Linked DNA regions of Saccharomyces cerevisiae S288C. Changing the gene in region 2 together with the main gene of any one other region gives a genetic interaction. Each region holds a gene or a part of one and is shown on either strand. Other genes may lie near its edges. The genes, in order: PTM1 and YJR015W.

Region 1 (4,104 bases), on a different chromosome or scaffold from region 2:
GAATAAAGTGATCCCGTAAAATGATATTCTACTCGGATGATCCGTTCCCTAGGAAGCGTAAGACAAGTAACTACAAATGTTGTCGCATGTATATTCTATTACTCAGAGCGTTTGACAAAAAAATCTTCTCCCTTTCATTAAAAACGAATCGAAGAGCTGGGTTTATAGCATTGTCACTAAGGACGTGGTCTCATCATAAACAAATAGAATATACATGTTATGTTACATAGGAAAGACCGAAAAAGCCAGAGAAAGCTAATAAGGTTAGCACTGATGCAGCGCGCAACCTTACGTTATCTGGCTTCGTTGTTCATCCTTGAACAAAGGGAATTCCTCACTTCTGGTCTTCCTGCGTCTCTTCTCATAAACAAGTACACATGAAAAGTCTATGGACCAATTTTCTCTTCCATTTTATAGTCGATGAACAGAAACTTTTCGCTTGTTTCGGTTTGATATAAATCATCTTATCACCGAAAAAAAAAAAACTCCAGCGAGCGGCTAAATAAATACAAAACGAAAAAGTTAGGTCTAGAGTATAGCATAGCTTTGGTGACTACAGTTATAAACAGGTAAAAGCACGCACAAATAAATGAAAAGAAACGTGCAACGCATTTATTTATTTATTTATTTATATTCATATTTATATTCATATTCATATTCACATCGCATTGAACAGAAGTGCATATGGTTCATAATTTCTTTCTTTTCGCTTGTAAACATTTCGTGACTGCCCTCGAAGAAACTATTTGTCTCATCACCTAATCAAATCTGCTGGAGGTAGCGTTATTTTGTTGGAGAGGGAGACACTGGCCCGTGGCCTTGGCTATGGTTATTTACATTATCGTGTCCTTCTTCATCATCAGTAAAATTCAAATTGAGGTCATCCTCGTCTATGCCACGCTCACCAGTGATGATACTTGCGTCATCTTGATCGTCAAACGATTGCAAATCGCCCAAGTCAAAGTCCGCGACATTTTCTGGGTCTGTGGGTAGTTGTTGGGATGCGGCTAGCATGTATGAAGTATCTGTTGGTCTCCATAAGAACGCGATGGTAACGAAAACAATGAAATACACTAACGTAGGCCAGAAATCAGTAACGAAGAACCTTGACCTCCAGTTCTTCTCAATCATATCAATAGTGTTCATGCCAACGTAAATAAATGACGAAACTATACTACCAGCTAGTACACTCAAAAAGGACGCATAAATGATGTATAGTAGCTTCTTGTACATGTTCAATTTTACGATCTGCCTTTGCTCTTTCAAATAGATAACTGTTTTTGTCATGGATCTAATAATCATGTAGTAAAATATGATTAATGCAAGCGCCATAGGAATCAAGGTGATCAAGATTAGTGGAGATGGTGCCTCCATGTCGGTCAAATAACTTTGGATCAAAAATCCAATGCAAATTGCATAAGTTAACGCACCATACATTTGGCAACGCCTCATCAACGTTTTATTCAACTTAGGGTACACGATACCGTAGCCCAAAGCGATAATCAATAATAGGAAAAATGAAAATGTAACTTTACCAGCCGTCAATATCGACAAGAACACCATATAAACTTTTATTCCCGCAGTATCACCTTTTTCATTTTTCAAATCATAGTAAGCCCATACAAATATGGTTTCTGCGGTTAAAAATACAAAAAAGGCCAGCAAATACTTTTGTAATGGTAACAATTCATGCTTGTGCTTCCAGAAGGCGAAGGAATATAACGCCATCGCCACAACGTATGCGACCGCCAAAAGACCATATAGTGGCAATTTGTTGATCTCGGTGCCCGCAAGCTGACCATAAGCATTCCTGAAATTCACCACAGCGTTGAACTTGGTAGACGTCGATGATCTGAACGCAGTAACACAATAAAATCCGGTTTCTTTTATTGGGTATCTAGTATCATGAAGGCCGACCTCATTTTGAGAAAACGTCATGATTGGATTGGCCAAAGATCTATTTGTGGAAGTATATGGATCATATACAACATCTTGAACAATAAACTCATCACGATTCTCCTCTTCACAAATCCCGATATCAATTGCATAATCATCACAAATATAATACATTTCTTCATCCGGCAATTGCACACCTAAGTGCTCAAAGTCTTGGAAATCATAGATTGCAACGACTAAGCCTGGATCAGACTCATCACTCAATCCACTTATTTTTTTAAGATTGAATGATATAAACGGGTCTATTTTGCCCTTCCAATCTTCTTTGGAATACATACCTGCGCATACTTGATAATTCTTTTGACTTATCTTTTCCTTGTTAGCTTTTACGAACACTAGAAGGTAGCATAAGAAGCAGGTGAATAATTGGAAAGGTCGGCAAAACTGATATACTCTCATTGTGCCCTTACACTCTTAGTTTCTGTAAATTTACTGCCTTTTTACCAGCTGTTTCTTGAAATTACCGAGAAAATATTCTATTTCAATTTTTAACCTGCAAAACCTGAACAGAATAGTTGATCCTCTTGACTATTAGTTTGAGGCTAAGTTTTTTTTTCCACTCTCCCTATTCCTACTCCTATATATATCTTGCTCTATCTTTTTCTTCAAGTTCGTTTTTTCACACACTATTTAAAAGACCAAGCTTATGTGTGACGTGCACGGGTGCAATATCTAAATCGGGCAAAACAACTAAGCAGTAATTAAAGTACCACACTCTAGCCGAAAAGAGGTATACATGAAGGTTGAAGATTCGGAAGCAATTCCCAAATTATGTTCAACATTACGGATATTACAATGTTCAATGCGCATAATACACCATAGAAGAAAATTGGCACTACGTATATACTGTCCATTGTTCTTTTAAACACAAAATTGAAACGTCTGCGGTCTCTTGAGGATAAAACAATGTACATTGAGTATAGTAACATGCTAAGCGTTAGCTTGTATCATCAAGACCGTCAAAGCAGGCATTTCATCAAATCTATAGGACCACTTAGCGGAGTCCTGGTGATTGTAGAAATAGCCTTCTAACGTATCAAGTGATAAATAATTTAAGTTTTCCGAATTTCAGTGATCTACTTACAATATTGCTTATTAATCATTATAAAAAGAAGCGTATTTAGCGGACTAATTAGAATACATAAGGCATTCTCAGCGTAATCTAAGCAAAAAAGCAAGAAATTGACTAACAATGTTCAAATCAGTGGCTAAATTGGGGAAGTCTCCGATTTTTTACTTAAATTCTCAGAGATTAATTCATATTAAGACTTTAACAACTCCAAATGAAAATGCTTTAAAATTTCTCTCCACAGATGGCGAGATGCTACAGACGCGTGGCTCCAAGAGTATAGTTATTAAGAACACTGATGAAAACCTCATCAACCATTCCAAGTTAGCACAGCAAATTTTTTTGCAGTGTCCAGGAGTGGAGTCTTTAATGATAGGTGATGATTTTCTCACTATTAATAAAGACAGAATGGTCCATTGGAATAGTATCAAGCCTGAAATTATAGATTTGTTAACCAAGCAACTTGCTTACGGTGAAGATGTTATATCCAAAGAATTCCATGCTGTCCAAGAAGAAGAAGGAGAAGGTGGCTACAAAATAAATATGCCCAAATTTGAACTTACCGAAGAAGATGAAGAGGTCAGCGAATTGATTGAAGAGCTGATAGATACAAGAATAAGACCAGCCATCTTGGAGGACGGCGGTGATATCGATTACCGTGGGTGGGATCCAAAGACTGGAACCGTTTATTTAAGATTACAAGGTGCATGTACCTCATGCTCTTCTAGTGAAGTGACTTTGAAGTACGGTATTGAGTCCATGTTGAAGCACTATGTGGATGAAGTGAAAGAAGTGATTCAGATCATGGATCCTGAGCAAGAAATAGCATTAAAGGAATTTGATAAGCTTGAAAAAAAGTTGGAATCGAGTAAAAATACAAGCCATGAAAAGTAAATATTCCGTCCTTCAAATGAAAATACAAGATGAGACGAAAATAAAAGGAAGTGTGTATATACTGTCTTTACCCTCACTATTACTTGATAGTCCGTACATGTTTCAACGGTCATCATGGAAAAAGGGTAAAGCACTCAACTTTTTCCATACACTAAAAACGGGTGCCCTTTTTACTGTGTTATTCG
Region 2 (3,999 bases):
TATACGGATACGAGTTTCTGGATCAGGCATACTTGTACCACTTATACAGAACGGATCACAGACACAATTTTTCAGTGTGGAACATGCTATTGTATTTAGATTCTGCAAATAAGGAAAATGGTGAGTCCAATCTCTCAAGGTACGCATTTGTGCCTCAATTGCTGCTTGTTTTAGTAACTGGATGTCTTGAATGGTGGAATCCCACATTCGATAACCTATTGAGGGTTTTATTTGTGCAGACGTTCGCATTTGTGACATATAATAAAGTGTGCACATCGCAATATTTTGTTTGGTACCTGATCTTTCTACCATTTTACCTCTCAAGAACGCACATTGGTTGGAAGAAGGGGCTTTTAATGGCCACGCTTTGGGTAGGAACGCAGGGAATTTGGTTAAGCCAAGGTTACTATTTGGAATTCGAAGGCAAGAATGTATTCTATCCTGGACTATTTATTGCAAGCGTGTTATTTTTCGTCACCAATGTGTGGCTACTGGGTCAATTTATTACTGATATTAAGATACCGACGCAACCCACAGTTTCCAACAAAAAGAACAACTGACTGACGTGAACTTGCACCATGTACATCAATTCTATAAATCTACTCATATAATGAATGTGTAAATATGAAAAAAAAAATGCAAAAGCGCACCACCAAAAGAGAAAAAAGCTGAAAAAAAAAAGGAAAAAGATACTTGATGTGATGTGTGAGTGAAAAAATTATTAATTCCTACTGGATAAAATCACCCCAAGGAAACAGTTCAAGAGCTAAACTAAAGAAAAGCATATTGCATAAAATGTTAAGAGAAGTCATCTATTGTGGAATTTGCTCCTACCCACCAGAGTACTGCGAGTTTTCAGGAAAATTAAAGCGTTGTAAAGTTTGGTTATCTGAAAACCACGCAGACCTTTATGCAAAGCTATACGGTACTGACGATAATACGCAAGAGGTGGAAGCCGTGACCAACAAACTGGCTGAATCCAGTATTGGCGAAGCTAGAGAGGAAAAGTTGGAAAAGGACTTGCTGAAAATTCAAAAAAAACAGGAAAACAGGGAACAAAGAGAATTAGCTAAGAAGCTGTCATCGAAAGTGATCATTAAAAGAGAAGCTAGGACCAAGAGAAAGTTTATCGTCGCTATCTCTGGGCTGGAAGTTTTCGACATCGACATGAAAAAGCTAGCCAAGACATTTGCGTCTAGGTTCGCCACAGGGTGCTCAGTCTCGAAAAATGCAGAGAAAAAAGAAGAAGTTGTCATTCAAGGTGACGTGATGGATGAAGTGGAAACTTACATACATTCCTTGCTGGAAGAAAAAGGCCTAAAGGACGTCAAAGTGGAAACCATCGATGCTAAGAAGAAGAAAAAGCCTGCTGCAGAAGGAGCTGCCAAGTAAGCAATCCATAAATATGTAATAGCACCGTTCTGGGAGAAAAGGACTTTTTACTTGGTAACCAGGCGTGTAGGTTAGATAGTCAAACCCTATATCGTTCTTGAGATCGTCGCTCATATATACTGTGCAGCCGGCCCTCGTGCGCCTGCGCCGTTCCTTCTCTGAAACCTTCGTAGTAGGACAATAAATATAGTCCCCATTGCCTATTCAAATTATTTGCAACCGAAAAACTGCAAAATTTGTTGTTGACCATAGGCGTACAAAACACAACTCAATCCAGCCGTAAGTAAGTATAGTTATGACTTCATCTCTAGATGATATAGAACCAACAGCATATAATAATATGGAAGCGGACGAGGAATATTGCAGACGCAACGATATACATGACCTTTCCAGCGTGGTCGGTGATGCTGTCTCACAAGGTGTGCCAGACATGGATGGTCAAACAACGGATTCTTCGAAGGACCCTGAGCCAAATTCCGAGGATAAGAAAGCGTTTCCTCCTTCGAGTGGCTCATTTTTTTCTCCTAATCTACAGGGTCAAAGGAAGAAAGTTCTTTTAAAGTTTGTTTTCACAAATTGCTTACTGGCCATAATTTGCTTTACAATGTTTGTGTTGTTCTGGGGGGCTCTTTACGACACCAGCAAGTATCTACACAAAGTTAAGCTTCTGGTTGTTATCCAGGAACCCCCTGTGGTAATTTTGGATAATAACAGTTCCATGGTAGTGCCCTCCATATCGTATGCTTTGCCTACTTTTATCAATAAAATACCATGTGATTGGGATATTTATAACAGTCCTACCTTCCAGGCCAAGTTCGACGTAAATACGCCACAGCAAGTCAATGACAAGGTTGTCGATTTGGTTTACGACGAAAAATACTGGTTTGCCATTAATATCAAGCCAAACGCCACGGAGACTCTATTTGAATCACTAATCAACGATACCGCACCACTATTCAATTCTACGCTGTTTAATCAGGTGGTATATGAAACTGGTAGAGACCCGACAAACCTAAAATCAACGATTTTACCGGTTGCTCAGACCATTGAAGAGTACTACCATACATTCTACACACTAAATTATCTGCCGCCGTTATTGACAAACATAACCCAGGTATATCGTTATGCACTAACTAACAATGCAAGGTATATCGCTGCAGCAGGTAAATATAACTACGAATACTATGACCACAGACCATTCACAGACCGTATTCTACTGGCACCCACACAAATCGGTGTTGTTTACTGTTTACTGCTAACTTTTTTCCAATTTCTATTGTACGGCCCATTACACGTAGAAATGGCAAAAGTGCTAAGACCAGCCAACGGTTTAATTTACCGTATCGCTATGTCATGGTTCACCTTTTTCTTTGCGTCTTTGTTCTTCTGCACAACAACCGCCATCTTTCAAGTCGATTTTACCAAGTCCTTTGGTAGAGGTGGCTTCGTCGTATATTGGATGTCTACGTGGCTCTTCATGCTTGCTGCGGGAGGAGCTAACGAAAATGCGGTTATGCTTGTTATTACGTTAGGACCCCAGTATCTCGGGTTCTGGATCCTATCATTTGTCATTCTCAATATTGCACCTTCTTTCTTCCCATTAGCGCTAAACAATAATGTTTATAGATATGGGTACATGATGCCCGTTCACAACGTCATCGATATCTACAGGGTTATTTTTTTTGACGTGACAAGACGCAAGATGGGTCGGAATTATGGTATTTTAGTCGCACTCATTGCCTTGAATACGGCACTGTTACCATTTGTTGGCAAGTATGCTAGTAGAAAACTAAAACAGAAGGCTTTAGTGGCAGCAAAGCAGAGTTAATTTCGTAGATTATAATTAAGGCGACTTTTCAAATAAAAAAATACTGATCGTTGTTTTTTTTTAAATAAATGTTTATCCATTCAATGGACTATAATAAATATTTATATATATATATATATGAAAAGATTGCGAACAAAAAAGATGATGGAAAAGGAGAATCTCTATATATATATTCATCGATTGGGGCCTATAATGCATCAAGCATCTAAAACACAACCGTTGGAAGCGTTGGAAACCAACTTAGCATACTTGGATAGAGTACCTCTTGTGTAACGAGGTGGAGGTGCAACCCAACTTTGTTTACGTTGAGCCATTTCCTTATCAGAGACTAATAGGTCAATCTTGTTATTATCAGCATCAATGATAATCTCATCGCCGTCTCTGACCAACCCGATAGGACCACCTTCAGCGGCTTCGGGAACAATGTGGCCGATTAAGAACCCGTGAGAACCACCAGAGAATCTACCATCAGTCAACAATGCAACATCTTTACCCAAACCGTAACCCATCAGAGCAGAGGAAGGCTTTAGCATTTCAGGCATACCTGGTGCACCTCTTGGACCTTCATATCTGATAACAACAACGGTTTTTTCACCCTTCTTGATTTCACCTCTTTCCAAGGCTTCAATAAAGGCACCTTCCTCTTCGAACACACGTGCTCTACCCTTGAAGTAAGTACCTTCCTTACCGGTAATTTTACCCACAGCTCCACCTGGTGCCAATGAACCGTACAGAATTTGCAAGTGACCGTTGGCCTTGATTGGGTGGGAGAGTGGCTT

The links.
Region 1: mutations in YJR015W (region 2) and PTM1 together harm fitness more than expected from each alone (negative genetic interaction), as found in Saccharomyces cerevisiae (2 studies listed by BioGRID).

Annotation. Positions count from the first base shown.
Region 1 is NC_001143.9:360,873-364,976, reverse strand, and holds PTM1 (Ptm1p), read right to left. Parts: upstream 2,356-4,104; coding exon 784-2,355; downstream 1-783. Other genes in the region: NFU1 (Nfu1p), read left to right, coding at 3,149-3,919.
Region 2 is NC_001142.9:461,034-465,032, forward strand, and holds YJR015W (uncharacterized protein), read left to right. Parts: upstream 1-1,687; coding exon 1,688-3,220; downstream 3,221-3,999. Other genes in the region: GPI14 (glycosylphosphatidylinositol-alpha 1,4 mannosyltransferase I), read left to right, coding at 1-560; TMA22 (Tma22p), read left to right, coding at 796-1,392; dihydroxy-acid dehydratase ILV3, read right to left, coding at 3,418-3,999.